Caenorhabditis elegans: one gene and its partners. The protein of the gene in region 2 interacts with the protein of the main gene of each other region in a pairwise test. Each region holds a gene or a part of one and is shown on either strand. Other genes may lie near its edges.

The links.
Region 1: the proteins of rbm-12 (region 2) and rde-2 interact in a two-hybrid assay, tested with the Caenorhabditis elegans proteins (one large-scale study listed by BioGRID).
Region 3: the proteins of rbm-12 (region 2) and wwp-1 interact in a two-hybrid assay, tested with the Caenorhabditis elegans proteins (one large-scale study listed by BioGRID).
Region 4: the proteins of rbm-12 (region 2) and src-1 interact in a two-hybrid assay, tested with the Caenorhabditis elegans proteins (one large-scale study listed by BioGRID).

Annotation. Positions count from the first base shown.
Region 1 is NC_003279.8:7,280,004-7,284,546, forward strand, and holds rde-2 (SH2 domain-containing protein), read right to left. Parts: upstream 2,869-4,543; coding exon 2,633-2,868; intron 2,590-2,632; coding exon 2,439-2,589; intron 2,379-2,438; coding exon 2,229-2,378; intron 2,182-2,228; coding exon 2,083-2,181; intron 1,965-2,082; coding exon 1,905-1,964; intron 1,859-1,904; coding exon 1,457-1,858; intron 1,409-1,456; coding exon 1,189-1,408; intron 1,144-1,188; coding exon 736-1,143; intron 661-735; coding exon 650-660; 3' UTR 521-649; downstream 1-520. Other genes in the region: hint-1 (Histidine triad nucleotide-binding protein 1), read right to left, coding at 4-141, 186-308; pfd-6 (putative prefoldin subunit 6), read right to left, coding at 3,127-3,253, 3,392-3,516, 3,562-3,632, 3,680-3,737; F21C3.6 (DUF4200 domain-containing protein), read right to left, coding at 3,957-4,025, 4,124-4,207, 4,352-4,543.
Region 2 is NC_003279.8:10,120,531-10,125,499, forward strand, and holds the start of rbm-12 (RRM domain-containing protein), read left to right. Parts: upstream 1-1,928; 5' UTR 1,929-1,988; coding exon 1,989-2,192; intron 2,193-4,853; coding exon 4,854-4,969. Other genes in the region: Y106G6D.5 (Helicase ATP-binding domain-containing protein), read right to left, coding at 1-267, 315-397, 508-777, 822-901, 953-1,314, 1,357-1,548.
Region 3 is NC_003279.8:535,137-542,745, reverse strand, and holds wwp-1 (E3 ubiquitin-protein ligase wwp-1), read right to left. Parts: upstream 5,625-7,609; 5' UTR 5,609-5,624; coding exon 5,503-5,608; intron 5,444-5,502; coding exon 5,186-5,443; intron 5,141-5,185; coding exon 4,911-5,140; intron 4,045-4,910; coding exon 3,835-4,044; intron 3,661-3,834; exon of another isoform or gene 3,504-3,660; intron 3,294-3,503; coding exon 3,019-3,293; intron 2,952-3,018; coding exon 2,738-2,951; intron 2,683-2,737; coding exon 2,362-2,682; intron 2,024-2,361; coding exon 1,763-2,023; intron 1,683-1,762; coding exon 1,461-1,682; intron 1,403-1,460; coding exon 1,115-1,402; 3' UTR 548-1,114; downstream 1-547. Other genes in the region: icd-2 (Nascent polypeptide-associated complex subunit alpha), read right to left, coding at 6,253-6,390, 6,440-6,847, 6,897-6,938; psf-3 (DNA replication complex GINS protein PSF3), read right to left, coding at 7,552-7,609. UniProt on the Caenorhabditis elegans protein: E3 ubiquitin-protein ligase which accepts ubiquitin from an E2 ubiquitin-conjugating enzyme in the form of a thioester and then directly transfers the ubiquitin to targeted substrates. Ubiquitinates klf-1.
Region 4 is NC_003279.8:1,565,927-1,570,645, reverse strand, and holds the start of src-1 (Tyrosine protein-kinase src-1), read right to left. Parts: upstream 3,038-4,719; coding exon 2,961-3,037; intron 310-2,960; coding exon 1-309. UniProt on the Caenorhabditis elegans protein: Non-receptor tyrosine-protein kinase which plays a role in endoderm development by controlling spindle orientation in EMS blastomere, probably downstream of receptor mes-1.

The DNA of each region.
Region 1 (4,543 bases), 2.8 Mb from region 2:
TACCTTTGAAGCAGTAACCATAAGCTTTCCAATAAGCGCAGCATCCGAATCAACGGCATTCTCGAGCATATCAATGCGACGCTTAGGGATCACAAGAAAATGAATTGGAGCTTGTGGAGAGACATCATGGAATGCGAGAGCCTTAAATAAATATTTTATGTGATCGTTTGCCTGATCTTACATACCTCATCATCTTCAAAAATGATTTTCGCTGGAATCTCTTTTCGAATTATTTTTCCGAAAAGAGTGTCGTTGGCTTGAACATCTTTGTTAATTGCCGCCAAGTGGGCTTTATCTACTTCCGACATGTTTCTCTTTGTAAACCTGAAAAATGGTGGAATCGATAAAGACACCTTGCCTACAGTAACCCTGACCTAACTGGATTACGGTAAGCAAGACGCAAAGCGGTTTTAACCAAAGAGGAAGCCATACTAAAATATTGAAAAATGGGCAAAAAATAACCAATATGCAATATATTTCAAACGATGAAAACGCTAGACAACGAGAAATAAACAATAAACATGTGAAAATAAATGCTTTAATCAGTAAAATGATACAAAAAATAATCAAAAAAGTTAACACAAGAACAAGAATTAATGTACCAGAATACAATTTGAACCCATAACGTGATTTGTCGATTGTGCAGTTTTTACTTTCGAACTGAAATAATAATTTGAATAGAAAACCAAGAATTCTCCTAGGTTTCTTCGAAAACTCGGTTTCCCTCTTACTTACCATTCATGAAATATTGATTAGAAGACAATGGCGGAAGCTCTCGAATATCTCCATTTGTGAACTGTTGATAAGCTTCACCTCCCTTTCCAATATGTAATGAAACATTTCCAATTGGTTTTCGATGAACAACCCACGCGATTAGGTCAAAATCTGCTGATAATTTCGAATTCAAATGATTCAGAAGACGTTCTTTTGGAATTGTGACAAGTACTCCATTTGTTGCTTTCAAATAATAAAAATGATGATCCGAGTTCATCTCTGTGTTGTCATGATATTGCTCCACTACTAGTTCAGGTTTTGAAAGTGCGATTTTTACTTTCATTTCAAGCACTCCTCCGAAGCATCTGACCGAGTTTTTAAAGCAATCAATTTTAAGGAGAGAATCTGGCGTGTCTGGTTTCTTTTTCACTTAAAATTAAAGTTTTTTTAAAACATTGGTAAATTGTAAAATACCTGCAATATGTGTATATGGAATCTTGAAAATGAGCCTATCTTTTGTTTCAATTCTACGAGGCAAGATATCGAAGAATGCCACGTCTCCGAGTTGAGGGGATCTTTCCAATCCTTCACACGATCTTTCTTGAAGCAAAACGTTTATAACGTCTCTTTTGGCTGTGTACAAAATTGCAAAGCCATCGATTTTTTGCACAACGGTGCATAAAGCAGATTGAGGCTGAAATATGGTGATGAAGATTAATATTATTGTTCTGGCATTACGTACTTTTTCGGAATCAGTTTTATCTTGACGAAGCAGTTGAAGCATCGTTGGAGCTAAATCTTTAATAAACGGTCTCATCGGAATATTAGATGTTCCACGTGTTCCGTATGTATCTTCATCATCAATTTCATCTTCATCTGATAACTGATTTGAATCAATAACTGGTGCTGCTCGACTTGAGATTGTAGTCTGGGACAAGGATGAATCAACTTGATTCAATTCGATACTTTGGCTTCGAAAAGTTTCCGGAGGTATTTCCCGATTCTCTGACACAACTCTAGAGGAATTGTACGAATCAGATGTCTGCGAGTTCATTTGAGAATGCACGTCTTCTTGATGTTGACTTGATTGTTGATCTTGTACGTCGGTTTCGGGTGTTTGAACATATCCATTACCAGTCATAATCTAAAAATGTGATTACTTGAAAAATTCTGAACTATAAGTCACATACATCCAACAGTCTTGTATCATGAAGATACTGTACATCAGAATCAACGACTGGATTCGGGAGCTGAAATTATATTATGTAAACTGCAGGAGGTTGTGGCTTATATGTTCTGGGAAATTTTGATAAGCAAAAACCAAAATGTGAACAATTCAAAATGAACCAGGACACTTTTGCCACATACTGATTGATATCCATTTCGGCTTACAGCATCACAGGTGTGTAGCTTTTGTGGATCTTCATGCACACTCAATGCGACCCAACCTGCCAGAGATGCTTGAGCCTGCAATATTTTTATTTTAATAGTTTTTTTTAAAATCGATAACTTACTTCAACAATAAAACTGCGTCCATCATAGTGTTGACATGATGATTTGATCAGACTAAAGTCGTCAATAATATGATCATAGGAAATATCGTAACTGGTGAAATCATACAAATTATTTTTCCGATCTACTATTACATCAAATCGAGCTGTTATCTGAAAAATTATAAAAATCCGTACTCTTTATTTATTAAAACTTTTTCCATTTGAGATTACCAAAATTTCTCCTTCATCGTTAGCCTCATACTTCGGAAAGAATCTCGCCGATGAATTTCTGTGATTCGGCAAAACGTCCCAGTTTTCATATCCACAACTATTTGAGGAATCCAATACGTATTGTCCCACGAAGTTCTGACAAACAGTTAATCTAAAATTGCTAGTTAATAAAATCAGATAAAATAATGTCTAACTTTAGCCAGCGTCCTATCTGCAGGCTCTGAATATTTCCACTGATTTCGACAAATCCATCGATATTTTTGGTATAGAAAAGATAATTTCTGTTTCCATATTTATTGTAACCAACTACCAATCCATATATTTGGGTTTGCGGTTGTTGAATTTGTGGTTGGGGATTATACGACGATGATGGCTGACTTTGAGCATAATAGTGATTTGGAGGAAAATAAGAATGGTACCCATTATGCATCTGAATAGCAAGAAAATGAATATAGTTATAAATCAGAACTGATGTAATTAGCAATGACTTTTAACATAGACGTGAGCACAAATGGTATAAAACAGTTTGAAAGCATTTATTGTAAATGGTTCCCCGAAACAAGAAACTTATTTTTTTCATAGAAAAATTAATGTGATCTTCTCGTTTCGGAGAAACACCAGAGATGAAGAATAGGCAAAAAATAACAAATTAAGAGCAAAAAATATGAGATTCATAGAACAAACTGGATTATTTCTTCTGTGCTTGGGCTGCTGCTTGAGCCATCATCTGGAAGCTTTTTTGCATATTCATCACCTTGTCTCGCTGTTCCGTACACTTCTTCGAAATGTCTGAGATGCTGGCTTCCACTCGTTTGCTGAAAATTGTAATTAAAGTTTTGTTGCATTTTAAAACGTTTAAAGGTAAAATTTATTTGTTATTTTTATTTGTTTCGTGTAAATCAATAGCGTGCAAGAAGTAATACTAAAGAAACATGATAAACGTTACAACTCACGTCTCAGAGTCGATAAACTCAAGCCGTTTCTCCACAGTCGATCGAGCCTCCTCCAAATCTTGACGAACAAGAACCGCTCCGATGAGTTTGTAGACTTTCGAGTCGGATTCCATCAGATCAAGCTCCTGAATGAAGATAACATGAAAACTGAATCTCAAACTTTTTCTTACCGCTTTCACATTTTTACTCTCAGTTAATCTCATTTCCATCTCTTGGCGACTCGTGAAGTACTTTTCGCGGTCTATAATTAAACGATTGAAAAGATTGTTTAAATTAACAGTTACTAACCTTTTTCAAGAGTTCTGAGCTTGTTAACTTCTTCTTCGAATTTAGCCATATCAGCCATTTTGATCGTTTTTAGTGGGAAAAGAAGTGAAAGAAAACAAAATTGTGTTTAAAAATCTAGAAGAAAAACGGGTTCTGCGCCATCCTTCAAAGCGCCAGCAAGCTTTCTTGACGCATTTTCCGTTTTTGGCGGAAGTTCAAAACTGGATTGTATATGTTAACTTCAATTTTGTTATGCTTTTGCTAAAATTTCATTCAATAGTGACAATACGAAATATTTTCAATATAGATATTTCCAGAATCGTGAAAACCAACTTTGCATGGAATCTTGATAATATTCTTCGCGTATCTGAAAGTTTTAGCTTAATTATATACAATAATTAAATAAGTTTCTTGTAAGTTCAGGGTATTTCCCTAGGTTCTATAAACATAAAAATATATTCTTACCTGTTTTGTCTTTTTCAATTCTGACTCTAGTTTTGATAATTGAATTTCAGAAGAACGAAGTCGGTCTCCAGCAGCGTTGAAATGCTGGAAAAAAAATCAATTTTGTTTTAGCCTTGATCCACTTTTTTGAAAGTCTAAAAAAAATTGAATAAAATATTTAATATACACTGTATCCAAATATACTAATAAATCATAAAACAAATCGTAAAACAGAAACCATAAACTCACCGATTTTTCAATTTGTTGTGTTTGAATAAAATCATTTGAATCGGTATATAACTGCACTTTGATTGCATTTCTTGACTCCCGATAATCACTCATCACATTCTCAACTGCTTTTTGTCCAGATTCAGCGTCTTGAAATACTTTCTCGAATATTTCTTGGCGTTTACGAAATTCTTTCTTCTGATTTTCCGTTTT
Region 2 (4,969 bases):
CTGATCTCCAACAAGAATGAGTTTCTTACAAGATGGTGTGGTTAATACTGGCACCCAAGTCGCAGGTTCCGTACATTGTGCAGCTTCATCAACAATCATGACATCTGCATTCCAATGATACTCCGGTAGTTTTTGAATTGAAGATGTTCCCAATGTTGAGAAAACAGCAAGTTTTGGATAGAAGATACTTCGAAAAATAGAATTTCGAATTAAATAGTATTCATATGACATCTTTTTATAGAGAGGATCGGATGTACTCATTGTTGACTGAAAATTAAAATTATTGAGGATAGGGATGATTAACACTCACTTACAAGTTGCTTTTTGATTTCTTCTAACTTTGAAGCGGATTTGTGGTTTTGAAACTCATCTTTCGTGTTTGCGAGGAGGCACAGTTCTGAAACAACATACAATTAAATATTGGCTTTACAGAAGTTAAATTTAACTTTTTCAAGGATATTCTTGTGAAAGTATAGATATTTGAAAAAAAAAATTACAAATTCTTACGCTGTTCGGCTTTCTCTTCAGGCATTTCTTCAATCATTCTTCCCGTGGTTGCATCCATTGCATTCCGTACAGCAACGTGTGTTGGGGCACAAACCAAAACTTTCTTTTTCTTTTTCATCAGTTGATGAACAATTTCAGCAATCACACGAGTTTTTCCAGTTCCTGGTGGTCCTTGAATACATAATAGATTTCTTTGTGTGTTCATTGCTGCTGAAACTGCTGCTACCTGACTTGGATTGAGTGTTTCCGGAAGATTTCCAATTTTTCTGTCTGAAAACTTTTAATTGAGGAGAATTCAACTTCTTTGAAAATACCATGAATAGAGGGCATTGGAATTGATCGATAGGCGAGATTGACTAAATGGACACTATCACTGGATAATGATGATGGATTCCTGAAAAATTGAATACATATTTTCAAGTCTGGTATACGGTAGCCACCATACTTAATTACACTTTGAAGAAATTTTAGAGCTCCGCTGTTTGTTGATGGAGTGAGAATGTAATTGAGTGTTGAGAAATCCACATTTTTATCGTCGTAAGCGCATACTTTCACGATTCCAGCAGTACAATCAACGACATGCCCATCGGACACTTTTTGCAAATGACCATCTTCATTCAGTTTGTTCAACAATACTGGAGTTCCTGCTTTAAGCCATCTCGTTCTTAAAATTGCGTCACCAGATAGGGTAATTACCTCTCCACAATATGAATCGTAATATTTTGAAGTCACGATCAGATTCCCAACGCAGAGCCCACGTTCTTCGATCACTCTCCATCCTACTTTGTTCCGGATCATCTCATCAAGCTGAAAATATAATATATTTTTGATCCCGATTCAGATTTTTACTTTTTCAAATTGCGCTTCGATTTCTGCTTCAAAGATCTTCGGCCATTCTCTAACATTGTCCAAAAATTTTGGTGTCAGAGAGATCTTATTCTTCGGTTGCTTTTTGAGAAGTCGGGAAGATTTTTTCAAGGATTGCGCTGAAGTCGATAGTTTGCATAGAGTTCCATAATTGAGTGATCGCAATAATTTCATCGTTCATTTCATTTAGATTTCCACCTGAAAAATCCATTAAAAATTGCAATTAATTGCATAATTTGCCATTTTCTGTTTTTAAATTCGCAGTGGAGCGAATTTACTGACACGCGACGCGCACGCAACGCTTTGCGTAGCAGCTTTTTTTCTTGTCGATTTTTGCTCTCGTTAGTCAATATTTTCGGTTTTTACACGTTTTCAGCGAATTTTTAATAGTTTCAGTTAGGTTTTTTGTTTTCTAAAGATTTGTTTCTGAAGGTATATCTATTTTCAAGGTGAAAATATGCAAAAAATGGTCACCTGCCGTCGTCTCTCTGAATTTTATTGTCATTCTATATTTCTGCAATTTAGTTCATTGTCTCATGCTGATATTTCATTCCAGATTTGAAGCGAACTAATTAAAGTTAGGAGTTTGATATATCCTCCATTTTTTGACGAGGATGTCGGTGATAATCCGTCTGAAAAATTTGCCGATGACGGCAGGCGCTTCGGATGTCCGTACATTTTTCACCGGTTTGAAAATTCCTGATGGGGCTGTGCATATTATTGGCGGAGACGAGGGAGAAGTTTTCGTCGGATTTTCTTCCGATGATGATGCGAGGCTTGCAATGACAAAAGATCGGTTGATGATTCACGGGGCTGAGGTTTGTGTTGGGGTATTCAGAAAATCGATCCACGTCTTCCTGAACTGATCCACTCTGTATAGTTTCTTCTACAAGTATATAGTTGTTTTGTTAGTGAACCAGTGTATGATATACGCTTAAGATTGCAGTCTGGTCTTACAATAATCAAAATATTTCTGTGCTTGCACGTGTTATATGTTTCTCTAGTGAATGCAAAGCGGCCACCTAGTTTTTTGAACGCTCTTAATAGCAGAAAAGTGTTGCCAATTAAGCGAAGAACATTTAAAAATGTTTTGTGTTTAATTTAGCTATATGATGGACATTATTATTTCCGACTCTGAACTTTCCTGGTTATTATTAAATTTGTGTAATGGAATATTAGGAAAATAATTTAAACCACGCGGACGCAGCGGGAATGACTCCGATTCTGATTGCTGATCATTGTCGTCACACATAACATCTCTCCATATGTATCTAAAATACAGTTAAACAGGGTACACTAATTCCAACAGAAGAAGTACATACTAAAGTTGAAAATCCGAATTTTCATCAAAAAGCAGATAATGGAGTAATGCACTTTTTCGGACTATATGCCGGTTTCTGAAAAAGAAAACATTTTCCACAGAACACAAGAGAATAGTTAAATGGATTTAATAAAACAAATTTAGATTGACAATTTTCTGGCTTGCTGTTAATCATGAAAGATTGTAAGGGGTATTTTGTGGCTGACCTTTTTCGGTGAACGAGAAAACAGCAATCTTTTTTAAAACTGTATTTGTAGCTTTTGTAATCACGCGAAATGCTGAAAATTGAACATTGTGGATACGATTTTTCAGAAACAGACCCAGTTTTTTGATTGTCAGAAATGAATGCCTATTGGCATTCAGTACTGTTCAACAATTGTTAACAATAGTATTTTAAAATTTTGGTAGATTGGAAACTATTCGGTATCGAAAAACTAATTCATCCTTTGTTCTTCCCATTTTTAGCGATCGTACAATAGGCCTCTAAAAAATGTCGACTTTCCGGATGAAAAATTTCAATACTGATAAGGAAAATATACACTTCCAAACCTTTTCAACATTTACGTTGAAAATGAACAGTGTTTCGTCAAATCTGCATATAACATTTTATATCACAAAAAATGAAAAATGATTTTAGTTAATTCTAATAGTTGGATAACATCACAAACTACTTCAAAGTAAAACAACAATTATATCAACCTTGAAACGGAAAATTCATATAGCATTTTCGTGTTCTTTGCTAGATTCGAAATTGAATAACAGTTTTAACTTCAAAACTAGCGAAAAACTTTTATTTTTTCCTCCTGAATCACAGACAAATATCTCGCGATACACTCGACATATGAACCTCACAACAAGGAGAAAATAACAATCTCAAAAGCGGCATCAAGTTCAAACTTTTCGAATCCATCCTAAACAACAACATTTTAGGTGCATGTAACTTTTATGGGTTGCAGCGAATGTAATGTTGAACCTCTATTTTGAATTACCACATCGAAAAATGAAAGTGTGCAGAATATTTGACTCAATAAATATCTCGTAGCGAAGTCTACAGTAACTGTAAATTACTGCCGTAACGTCAAAAATAGACGCTGAGGTTACGGTAGCATTTCCAAAGTTACTGTAGACTTCGTAACGAGATAACCAAACTGAATTTGTATAAAATATGTTCCAATCACCTTTCAACACCAGAAAAATTAGGAATTATATGATATTTATAGGCTTTGATCTTCTTTTCCACCGCATTTGCTCTCCACTCTGAACTGGGTTATGCGAACTTAAAAATCACAGATGATCTGTGAACAACTAGGCGTCAGAATACTGCATTATTTTCAATCTCTGCATATATCCTAATTTTTATTACACTAGTTATTGACGCTTCAAAAAATTTATTTAAGTTCTGAAAATCAAACAATTTTCAGCGTTTTATAAAAACTTGTTGTTTTCTGGTTGAAATACTTCGAAGTAATTTTTCAAAAAGTTATTTTCTGAACATAATAAGTATTATTTACTGAAAGCACATTTTCATCAGAATGGATTAGGCAGCTTATTGAACTTTCATTGTGACTAGTTTTAAAAAAAATGTCATTGGGAAAATATTCAAGTTTTTGATGCATGAATCCACATTTGAAGGTCTCAGCACGATTGAAACATCGTTCATATCAAACATCACACAAGAGGGTGTGTGCCTTTAAGGGGTACTGTAGAAATCACTTCCCAGTTTTTTTTTCAATTTTATTTGATTTTTCCTCTTCTCCTCACTTTCCACCGCGCTAAAAAATAATCAAGTCATAACATTCCTCGAAAAGGTGCACGCTCTTCTGCCCTCACTTCATCTAAAATTATTTCGATCGTGCCGAAACCTGGAATCGTCATTTTACAAAAAACATTGCCAAACGTACTGAATAAATGGGAGAAATCCAAAATTATCACTAGGCTTTCTTCTCCCCGAAGCAGTTAATTTTTGAACTCAAATTGAAAATTTTAAATCGTCATGTCTGGCAAAATTTTCGTTTAATTTTGAATATGTACCTCTCAAGTTGACAGTCAGTTGGGGTTAAAAAAAAAATGTAAAAATGGATCAGTATCAGGAACGACTATGCTCGAGTCATTCTTATATGGAAATAATTATAACGTTTTCCCAACAAAATATTTTCAGGTTCGATTATTTCTCTCCTCCAAATCAGAACAGAACTCTGTAATCGCGGCGCGAAAAAATAACACATATACTTCTCCAGTATACAAAGAATATGTTCCGCCGGTTCCATCACAACC
Region 3 (7,609 bases), 9.6 Mb from region 2:
CGCATTTGTTGTACAGTTTTTTTTATTTAAAAAATCATTGCCGGAAAATGGCAAAACAAATTCAAAATTTCATCGTTTTTTTCAGTAATTTAAATTTTTTGGTGGCGGTTTTGTTTTGTACGCTGGAGCGCATTTGCAACACGGTTTTTTTTTTCAAATTTCGAAATTTCTAGTCGTAAAATGGAAAAAAAAATGAATTTTTAGAAAGTTTTTAAAAAATCATTTTAAAGTTAATTTTCGCTGCGGGACCCAAGAACACTTTACGAAAAAATCAAGAAAAAAGCAAGAGCTCCCCGAATCTGATAAAAGCTAAAACGTGGAGCAATAAGAAAAATCGAAAGTCCGAAATAAAACGAATGAGGCTATCCATCCTCTCCGCTGGTGCAGAGAGAGAGGAGAGACGCAGACAGCCGAGACATGAGTGACCAAAGGGTCCCGTCCTTCTCCTGCAGGGTTCAAAATATTGATCTTCTGCTCTCCGTGTGTTCCGCATGGAAATTCTGAAAGTTAAGAAAACCTAAAACAACAAAAAAGGCTCAAAATTTAAAAAATTAAATTCATTACAACCAAATCGAGGAATTGTGTTTTTTTTTGTTTTCAAAAAAAAAAGTAGAAATTGTTCTAATCGGGGGGTGACGGATTGGTTGGGGGGATGCATTTGAATTAATAATCGAGAGCTGCTTCCGTGAAAAAAACTGGAACTAAGAATGACAAGGACCAAGTAAGAATAAGGCGCAGATTGGGTGGTGGTGGTTGAAATGGTTGAGAAGAAGAAAAGCAATGAAGCAATGGACACAAAAAAAATATTTGAAAAGTGGTGGAATTGTTTTTTTGTTGTTGGAATTAAACGGGAAATTTGGAAATTAAATCCAAAAAAACTAGATGCTTTGTCTATATTCTAAATATAGGTACATACCCAGAAGGAAAGGAAAGAGAGAGAGAGAACCTAAGCAAGTGGTATCACAACACGAAAATTATCACACAAATTCGAAAAAAAGAAACATTAATTGATGGAGAGAAAAAAAAGGAAAATCAATGGGGTGTGGGTGAGAAGAAATATGAGGGTTATACAATAATTAGGCGGCCAGCAAAACCAAAAAAAAACAACGGGAGACTACTCGTTTCCAAATCCTTCCGTCATCTCGATCGCCATGCTCAACTTCTCGACGAGCTGATCGTAGCTTCTGTATGGCGGCAAGTCGAGTCGATTGAAGCACGTATGCGACCGTGGGAGCCAGTTCTCCTTGCCGACACGCTCGATACAGAATAGTTGTGGTCCCGTCGAGCCCATCAGCTCGGAAAATCCACCGACTGGCACACGGCACGTTCCTGTGACGAATTGTAGGAGCCGGGCACGTTTTTCTTGGTCCAGACTTCGAACCCATTGCCAGAACCAGGTTACCTATAAATGTATTTTTTAATTAAAAAAAAAGAAGTTTTAATCAAATGTTCTCCCCTACCTGCTTGCTCTGTGGAGCATAATGTCTGTAGACAGTATTTCTCTGCCAATCGTCCACATCAACGTCCTGCATTCCGCAGAGCAACAGCTCGAGCTCTCTTTCATCGAAATACTGCATCCATTCCAACGGGAAGACCGAGTTGAAGCCGGTGAAGAAGGCTTTTGTCTGTTGTTCGACACCGCGATTGAAGCGCCACTCAACGAGCAGTTCGATGTATTCAAGCTGGAAAATTGGGATTTTTTAAATTAAATTATTTTATTTAAAAATTATTTTTATAAGCTCTAGCTAATCCAAAATCTCACCTTATTCTCCTCGGTAACAGCAATCTCTGTACCGCCCTCCTTAAGCTCATAAGTCTTGAGCTCGCCGAGCAGCTCGTAATCGGCAACAAAATAGAGCTCCATATCGCATTCATCGATATTGTTATCCTTGATCCACATCAATGAATTATAAATTTCCGAATCGACTTGTTCAATGTCCTTTAAAACAATCTTCTTGTTGAGCATCTTTTTGTAGAATGGCATCGTGAAACCGCTGTAGATGAATTTCCCGTGGAATAGCGCCTGGAAATTTGAAAATAAAGGAATTTTCTAAGAAAAACTATTTGTTTAAATAAAAATAACATTTTTAGGAGAAAATGAAATATATTGATCTGAAAATTTGAGATCATCGAAATTTCCAGGTTTTTTGAGCTGAAAATAAAAAAAATCGATATTTAAGGATTTCCTTCATCAAAAAACAAAAATTTTAGATCCAAGTGCTTTTTTTTGGAATTTTCTGCAAAATTTAACGTTTAAAATTTTAAAATTCAATTGTAAAAAGCGGAAAACTCGATTTTCTCTCGATTTCGCAATTTTTCATCCAATTTTCAACTGATTTTCAATTAAAAAAAAACACTCACCATGGCAATGAATCGTCCAATATACTCGAAATACTTAAGATGATCCGGGTTAACAAATGAAGCTGGATTGATTTGAAGACTATAATTGTTATTACCAGCATACATGAATAGGCAATACATTGGATTCAACACTTCGTGCGACAGCAGGAAGAACCATTCTCTGGCGACACCTCCATAGTCGAGACCCTCTTCGCCTCGGAATTGAATGTACAGCCGCCGGCGTAGATCGACTGCATTTTTACGCATAATTTCTTGGAATGAGTCTTCGAACACGTTATTACGGGATACTGTGATTTTGACATGATTAGGCACACTGTTTGACTGAAATTTACATCAATTTATAGCTAAAATCAAAGAATTTCTCGCCCTCCCTTACCAAGCATAAATATCTGAATTGTGCAATTTTCCACCGGAAACTCTTCTCCATGGCCATTTGAACACCGACGACGCCGAGCGGGCCGACGGGTTTTCCGGTTCTTGGATCATTATAGGTGGTGGTTTTAGACTGGTGATCGATGAAGAATGGAACGCCTTGCTCGGTGAATCGCATTTCCCAACCATCCGGAAGAGGTTGGTCGGAGCCTCTGAAACTTTTAAAACATTAAAACTGTGATTTTTGATAGAAATATTATTGGAAAATTGAAAATTTTCACATACCCCTGTGTTCTCGGATCTTCCCATTGTGTCGTTCTATTTACATGATTCACAAAGTACATTCTCGACGTATTCGGATCCTGACGCTTCTCCCATCCTTCGGGCAATGGTCCGAGTGGATCGTCGGCGCTAAAGTTGTTCTGCTGGAGAAGGAAACGTTGTTCCCATTGAAGCATCGCCTGATCTCTTCCCGATTGCCATTGTTCGTGTGCTTCAAGCATATCGGCTGTCGGTCGTTGCCAGGTGGTCGTGCGCGTGTTGTGATCCACGTAATACACCTGAAAATGGATTGTGCACCTGGCGTGAATTTTTAGACATTTTTCAAGTAAAAATCACTGGAAAGTTTTTTTTTTTTCGATTATCAAATAATTGGAGACCTTGGTTAAAATAAAGAAAATCAGAATTTTTTATCCGTCGTTATAATTTCCTAATTTTCAGGCCGTATTTAAAGAAAAAATTTCAAAATTTTCTCGAAAAAAAAAATTATGGAGGATCAAAATTACGAAAAATTGCCTGAATTCAGCAAAAATCTTCAATTTTGTCAGTTTTTCTGTGTTGGAAGTTGATTTTTACTTTATTTTTGGCCTATTTCGATGCAATTACAAAAATTTGACAAGAAATCAACAAAAATAAGACACTAATTATGTAAAAATCAAGATTTTAGCCTTAAAATAATTTATCAGGTCACTTTTTTCGGCATTTTGGTCCAGGTATCCGCGGCTACGGTAGATATTTTTAATTTTGATGATTTTCGCATCAAAAATATAATCAGAAACGCTTTTCTCGTGCTAAATCTGCTTTTTCCGCCGGAAAACTCACTCTTCCTCTCGGATCTCTTCGCATTTCCCATCCCTGTGGCAATGGCTGAGTAGACGGGCGTTCCCACGTGGTGCTCTTGGTGGTGTGATCCACGTAGTACTTGCGTCCGTATTGATCGAAACGCATCTCCCATCCATCGGGAAGCTGTTCTTCTGCTCCGGCGGCCGGGGTGCCGCCTGCTGTTGCTGCTGCTGCCGCCGCTGCGGTACTCTGCAAATGAAAAGTAAACATTAAGAGTAGTAGAGTAATGCATGTATTTGACAACATTTTGTGTATGATTCTGTAGCATTAAAAATGCAGAGAAAAGAATAAAAAACGCTCATTCACGCTCTCCTCTAGTGTTCATAATTATTAGAGCGCGCTCGCGCGGCACCTCACGAACTCCAGAATTCGCGGGATTTCGTTTCGCGGGGACAGCAGTTTTTGGCTATTTTTGGCTTCTATGGAAATTATTTTTAACGAAAACTGAAGGTTTACAGAGAGGAGTCACCACGACTTTCTTTAAAATGTATCAGTACCGTCAGTTTTTTCGATTTCAGAGTCGTAAAATATGTCATTTTGTAGAGAAAAGTCTGTTTCAAAAAAATCCATGTTTGAAATTATGAAATTGTTCTTATTAAAAACTGAACGATTGAAAAATTCGATTTTAACGTAAACTTGTTGATTTTTTGAATATTTTTATATTAGAAATTAAACAATTAAAATATCAAACATGGATTTTTGTGAAACAGACGTTTCTCTACAAAATGACATATTTTACGACTCTGAAATCGAAATACTGACGGTACTGATACTTTTTAAAGAAAGCCGTGGTGACTCCTCTCTGTAAAACCTTCAGTTTTCGGTCAAATTTCATAATTTTACACATTTTCAATTTGGATGATGCTTCTCAACAATATTTTAAATCAAAAAATTAAAAATAATTTCCATAGAAGCCAAAATAGCCAAAAACTGCTGTCCTCGCGAATTCTGGAGTTCGTGAGGTGCCGCGCGAGCGCGCTCTAATAATTATGAACACTCCAGTAGAGCGTTTCATGAATAATTAAATAATTCAAAATGGGTCTCGTCACGATTACCGTTGGAGCCGCCAAAGTGTCACGCTTCGCTGTCGCCGGTCTCCGCGCCGAGGATGACGTGGCAACGCCATTTGACGTGGATGCCTCTGAACTTGCAGACGCGGCGGTTTCAGCTCGTACTCCTGCGCTTCTTCGTTTCCGCTCTGGATATCCGGAGAAAATTATGTTGAGAGTTCCGATTTTCGAGGAGTCTTTGGCCAGCAAAGATATATTGTTGATGTCGTTTTTGACTGAAATAATAGATTTTTTGAGAAAATTTCAATAAAACCACTTACACTCTCCATTCTCATTTCTTGTGAGACTCGAAAGCTTCAGCTTCGCCATCCCTAGACACGTGTCATCGAATAGCTTGGCTTTTTGCAATAGACGAAACGAAATTGTCGAAGATTCATTTGCATGAACGTTGAGATGTTCATTCCACTCGGGCGCCATCGTCTTCTTCTTTACAGTCGTCTTTTTTGGCGCCGCCGATGACGTGTCACTCGTGATTTCGACATAGCAGTCGGCTGCCTTGGTGAACGACGCGTTGACGACTATGATTAAGAGGGGGAAATATTATTAGAACAGATGCAAAAAATCTACGAATTGTTACCTTTTACTGTGACTTTTGATGGTTTTGCCGACCCGTTTTGTTGTGCTGGAGTTCCATTACTCCCGGAACTACTCGGCTGCTGAGATGATGGTTCATTACGAGCCATTCGATCATGAAACTGGCTGAAAATTTCGCAATTCCAGAAAAGATTTAGAAATGAAAAGTCGGCGAGAAAGGAAAAATAAATCCACGTATCACAAATGACAGCGAAACGGTGGGAATGAAGATGTTAAGTACTACTAGTCAGTATTATCGATCGATTTCCAACTGATAACACTGGAAACCATGTGAAAAAATCTATAACAGCTCGCAGTAACTTGCCATTGGCTGCTGGTCGATGCGTTTTGTCATATGACCTGCACATCTAACGCCGTTTCGCCCGCGCATTCAAACGTGTTTGTTGGGGCGCGCTTGCTATTCAATAGCATTTTTCACATACACACAATTGGTATTTGCTGTTGATATAAACTGGAATGTCATGATAAAGTGATAGCAGGTGAAATGAATCACAGTCATACGAGTAAAGAATTGGAAGAAGTGAAAGTTCTCGATCAATAGAGGGGTGTTTTACACAAACAGTGATTTAATTGTTCTTTTCTGTAAAAGGTAGGTCAATTCGAAGATGCAATTGTTTTTTAAACATAACAAAAAAGTTAAAAAAGACTGATAAACGTTTACTTGGAACGGAAAACGGGATAAGCAAGAGATACAACGATAACAAGAGTATCTGCAAGGTCATCAGGAAACAAGCTACATGGTAAGGCTCATGATGGCATTGACGATGTCATTGTCAGCTTCCTTAAGCGCCCTGATGGCCTTGTTGCGGGTGGTGTTGGCTTGGGAAATGACAAGCTCGATGTCCTTCTCCTCAATGCCGGTGGAATCCTCCTTAAACCGTACAATTAATGTAATAAATCCGATTAAGTTACTGAATTACCTCAACATCCTCATTCTCGTCCTCTTCGACAGTCTTGAGTTGTGGGGCCTCACGAGTTGGCTTCAAGTTCTCAATAGCAGACATCTGGGCGTGTTGGGTGAGATCCTCGATCTTGGCTTCTCCGAAGATGATGTAGGTGTCAGATCCTGGGCTCTTGAACACGTCTGGCTTGTTTATGACGAAGAGGATGTTCTTCGACTTGCGAATGCAGACACGGGAGACACCAGTCACTTGCTTGAGTCCGAGCTTGGAGAAGAGCTTGCGGGCCTTCTTCTCGGAGCGGCTTTGCTTGGCCTGCTTGTCGATGTGATCTCCAAGTCCAGCAGCCTCGGCCACACGTCTTTGCTCCTCGGTGAGCTCTTGCTCGACGGCCTCGTTGTCGGAATCATCCGAAACGTCAACTTGTGGCTGAAATATAGAAATTTAAATATTTTAGACGTCACTTTGAACAACCAACCTCCTTGACTTCCTTCTGGCGAGTTTCGGTGCTTCCGGTCATTGTTTAATGTGGTAACCCTGAAAAAAACGTTTATGAAAGTTTACAAATTTGAGAGAAACAGGAGTTTCAAAGAGAATATTACAAAAAAAAGATGAAAAACTTGTAAATTCAAAATATCCACACATTTTTCTTGGTAGGAAAGCTTTAATCGAGGAAATTCAAGCTAACTTTTGCACAATCTTAGAATATACCCATTACTACTTATTCTAGATTGGATTTTCATGTTTTTGAGGAAAATCTGAGCCAAAATTAAGCCAAAAAAGCAAAAAAATAGTTGAAAAATCGCGCAAAATTGGTGAAACTTCTCGAGAAAAAAAGGGGTGTTTCTCTTTTTGCTATATGACCTGCACATCTAACTTCGACCCGCGACGTTCAAACTGTGCGATGGAGCGTGCTTGCACAAAATTTTTTGCTGGCAAAGTTTTTGCAGCAGCCTTTTCAACAAAATTCCTTGCAAAAAAGTCATGAAACCAGGTTTATTACACCAATAAAACACAAAAATGAGTGTGAAAAAATAGAAAATAAAATATTATTACAGAATGGTGGGTTTGAATTATATTTACAGACGAATTAAAAAAAATAAAATTAGATTCAAGCATAAGAAATTTGAAGTTTATAACGAAAGTCTCTTACGCTTCTTGCTCGAGCACTTATTGTCTTGTCTCAGCCAA
Region 4 (4,719 bases), 8.6 Mb from region 2:
TTCCTCGGCACATAACCAGTCTGTCCGGTTCGTTGGTGTCGAACATACCACCAATCACAATTCGAATGATCCAATAGGTACATAGCATCGCCTTTTTGAAAGCTAAGATCCCCGTCGGCACGTGAATCGTATGGATAGAGGGCGACCAGAGTCTCACGTTCCTGTGCTCCTCCTCCACCACCACCACCACGTCCATTTCCCATCATTCCGTCTGATGTTCCGTTTAGTTGAGAGATGGTTCCCTCGTTTCCACCGTTATTCACGTGGAATACTGTCTGTTGTTGGGGCGTTTGGAATCTGCGTGGATATCTTTTTGGGTAATGGGGGAAGTGTACGGAAAAAAAATGGAAAAATAATTAAAGGTGGAGTAGCCACTGCAACTTTTTCCTCACGAGGGACGAGGAAAAGTGGTTTCTAGGCCATGGCCGAGGGGCCGACAAGTTTCAGCGGCCATTTATCTTGCTTTGTTTTCCGCCTGTTTTCTTTCGTTTTTCATCGATTTTTTTCGTTTTTTCTTAATAAAACTGATAAATAAATATTTTTTGCAGATGCTAAAACAATTTCCAAGTAAAAAAAATCATGTATTCAGTGGGCAAGCAGCGGTGAAAGTGGTCGATGTAATATGATGGATTACGGGAATACAAAACCTAAACGTTTTCTGAAACATGATACATATGCTGCTTAAATGCTGAGACTACCTGATTTTCATAACGAGACCGCTGAAAAAGTTTAGAGATTTTTAAAATTCAACATTTTGTGCGAAAATCTCTACTTTTTCACCAAAAACAATTGAATTTTGAAAACCTCAAAACTTTTTCAGCGGTCTCGTTATGAAAATCAGGTAATTTAAGCATCTAAGCATCATATGTATCATGTTTCAGAAAAAGTTTAGGTTTTGTATTCCCGTAATCCATCATATTACATCGACTACTTTCACCGCTGCTTGCCCACTGAATACATGATTTTTTTACTTGGAAATTGTTTTAGCATCTGCAAAAAATATTTATTTATCAGTTTTATTAAGAAAAAACGAAAAAAATCGATGAAAAACGAAAGAAAATAGGCGGAAAACAAAGCAAGATAAATGGCCGCTGAAACTTGTCGGCCCCTCGGCCATGGCCTAGAAACCACTTTTCCTTGTCTCTCGTGAGGAAAAAGTTGCAGTGATGGGGTCACAATGTCCGAATACCATGATAAAAAAATTCAAAAAAATTTTATATGATTTTTTGAAAATTAAAAAATGGTAAAAAAAAGATTTTTGCCTAATAATTCCTATTTGAATTTTGAATTACCCCCAATTGGATTTGTTCGGTGGAGCGCCGCGCTTGCACATTTTTTATTTTTATTCATTGTTTTTTTTTTTATATTTTCCACCGATTTTCCATGTTTTCAGTGTATTTTTGTCTGAAATTTGAAGAAAAAGTCGAAATAAATGCTAATTTTTGATTAAAAAGCTACTTCACAAGCGTAAATCTTTGAAATTAATTAATTCAGGTTTCGAAATCGTCGTTTAAATGCTTTTTAATCGAACATTTGCATTTATTTTGACTTTTTCTTCAAATTTCAGACAAAAATACACTGAAAACATTGAAAATCGGTGGAAAATATAAAAAAATAACAATAAATAAAAATAAAAGCGTGCAAGCGCGCTCCACCGAACAAATCTAGGCAAAACAAAAAATTAGGCAAAACTGAGATTTTTTCAATTTTCAAAAAATCATATAAAATTTAGAAATTTTTTTTTGAATTTTTTAACCATGATATTCGGTCATTGTGGTATCATAGGCATGTTTAAAAGCAATTTCCCCACTGGCGCTACTCCACCTTTAAAAAAAATATAATACGCGAATTGACGCGTTGTTAGTGCATTTTTAGGTGGGCAAACAATCAAATTTTTTTTATAGAAAAGGAAGTACATATATGAACATTCTCATGTGCATTAAAATTGAAATATTGAATGTTTAAAATTATTTAGTGCTCACTTTTTCCGAAAAAAAATATATATAAATAGAATAATCTCAGAAGAAAAACTATGGCATCATTTTTGCCCAAATAGATGTCTTTAAATGTTTTTAAAAAAAAAGATATATATATATATATATATATATAATTTTTTAAAGACATCGTTGGCATCTAATTGGGCAAAAATGATGCCATAGTTTTTCTTCTGAGATTATTCTATTTATATATTTTTTTTTTCGGAAAAAGTGAGCACTAAATAATTTTAAACATTCAATATTTCAATTTTAATGCACATGTTCATCTTAATACTATTTTCATTTTTAGGCTTAGAAAACAACATTGGCCTAAAAATAGCCTAAAAATAAAGCAAACTTTCTATAAAAAAAGACGGGACAGAGAAAATGATACATTTTTAAATTCTATACATTTTTTCCAAAAAAATACACTCGAAATTGTAAAAGAGTTCAGTCTCGATTAAAAAATTCCAGAAAAAAAAATTTCTAATAAAAACATTTACTACAGTAGGGATCTCGTTTTTTTTTTCAAAATTCTTTGGAACTCAGTAATGTCAAATTGCCGGAATTTGTTGGGATCGGGCACTTACTTGCTGAGAAAATGCCGAAAATCTAACAACTGTTGATCACTGCCGAATTATCGAAATGTGAAACGGGCAAATTTTCGGAATTGAAAAGTTCCGGCAAAACGGGGGATTTCCGCTCACCACCATGTAAATGCATAAAATATCATGCTTTATGTAGATTTAGAATAGCTAAATTTCCTATTTTAATTGAAAAGTCAATAATTTATGATTTTTTATCGAAAAATCAATGATTTCTAATTTTTAACTAAAAATCAATAATTTCAAATTTTTACCAAAAATTAAACCAAACCGGAAAATCGGTTTTTTTTCAAATCTGTATTTAATTTTTGCACTTTTTATCTAAAAAAAAAGTTGATTGTCTCCAAAAAAATAATACATTTCTCTATAAAATAGTTACCTGGAGACATCTATCCGTTCGGAAACACCCATATCACTGCCTCCCGATCGCCGCTCTTTTGAAAACAGGCAACCCATTATTTATTCTGAAAAAAAATTATTTCAGGAAAATGTTACTGGGGTTGCCTCGTTCGTTCGGCAAATCAGCAAATTGCCGGTTTGCCGGAAATTTTCATTTTCGGCAATTTGCCGGTTTGTCGAAAAATTGTTTGTGAATTTTTTCGTTTTTTTTTTTTAAATTTTTTTAACTGAAAAATCTCTGTCAATTTAATTTTTTTTTGACATTTCCACAACTGGAAAACTGCAAAAAAAGACTGTACAAGCAGAATTTTCAAACAAATTTCAAAAAATTTGTTAATTTTAATATATATTAAAATTTACAATTTGCAAATATCACGTGGTGCCAGCCTGTCCCATCACGGTTTGATCTACAAAAAATGCGGCAATTTTTTGCCCAAAAAATGTGACGTCAGGACGGTCTTAACCATACAAAATCAGATGAGAAGTCAGCGTCCCGTTTTCCCGCATTTTTTGTAGATCAACGTAGATCAAGCCGAAATGTGACACTCTGACACCATGTGAAATACTTGAATCGTCGCGAAATTCAAAAATTGTCAGGTTTTGTAATTTTCAGTGAAAATTTTCTGAATTTTCCAAAAAAACTCACACAAGACACCAGTATTTTTGTGCAAACAACAATTATTGAGCATGCATATGGAATGGTTGCTTCTTCTTCTTATTTTCGAGGTTTTTTTTCTGAAAATGAGGAAATTTTGGCGGGAATTTGATTTTAAAAAAACGAGATTTTAGAGGAAAAAGTGAAAATGGAGGGGTAGTAAATATGTTTTAAATAAACTCTGACGCTTGGAATTTATTCAGAAAAAACGCGAAAATTATCAATTTTTTGAAGAAATTTACAATATTTTCCCAACAGAATCAGTATTTTTGTATTTAAAGGTGGTGTAGTTGAATTTTTTTTTAAATTTCTTTAATATACTCAAAATTGTCTGAAAACATCGAATTTCATAATGAAACTTCTTGAAAACTTCTCCAAATACCGTATTTCCTCTATTAGTTTTGCACCCCCTCAATTTGTTCCCTATGTTTAGGAATTCAAAATTTGCATAATAAAATCGTTCTAAAAATTAGGAAAACTCTTACAGACTTGGTATGACAAGTCAAAATTGACAAAATATGAGTACAATTCGGACAATTTTTGCGTATCAGTCGTAAAATTCGTAAATTTTCGATCATAAGTTGTTATTGAAATTGATCATAACTTAATGGAAAACATGAGAAAAAACCTGTTCGAAAATTAGTTTTGCATCAAATTAGGTGTCCGAAAATTAGTTTTGCATGCCTTACTAATAGAGGAAATACGGTAAAAGTTATGGCGGCTCAAAAAATGGCCTAAGATAAGTTAAATTTTGAAATTTGACCGACTTGTCAAGCGGCTGGAAATTAACTTTTTTGAATTCACCGTCAAATTTTGAGTATACAATGTAATTATCCTGCGTTTTCAACTTCATTTAGGTATTATAAAGTCGATGGACGGCGAAATTTGGATAAAAAATTTAAAAAAATGTCGGCCATTTTTTGAGCCGCCATAACTTTTACCGTATTTCCTCTATTAGTAAGGCATGCAAAACTAATTTTCGGACACCTAATTTGATGCAAAACTAATTTTCGAACAGGTTTTTTCTCATGTTTTCCATTAAGTTATGATCAATTTCAATAACAACTTATGATCGAAAATTTAC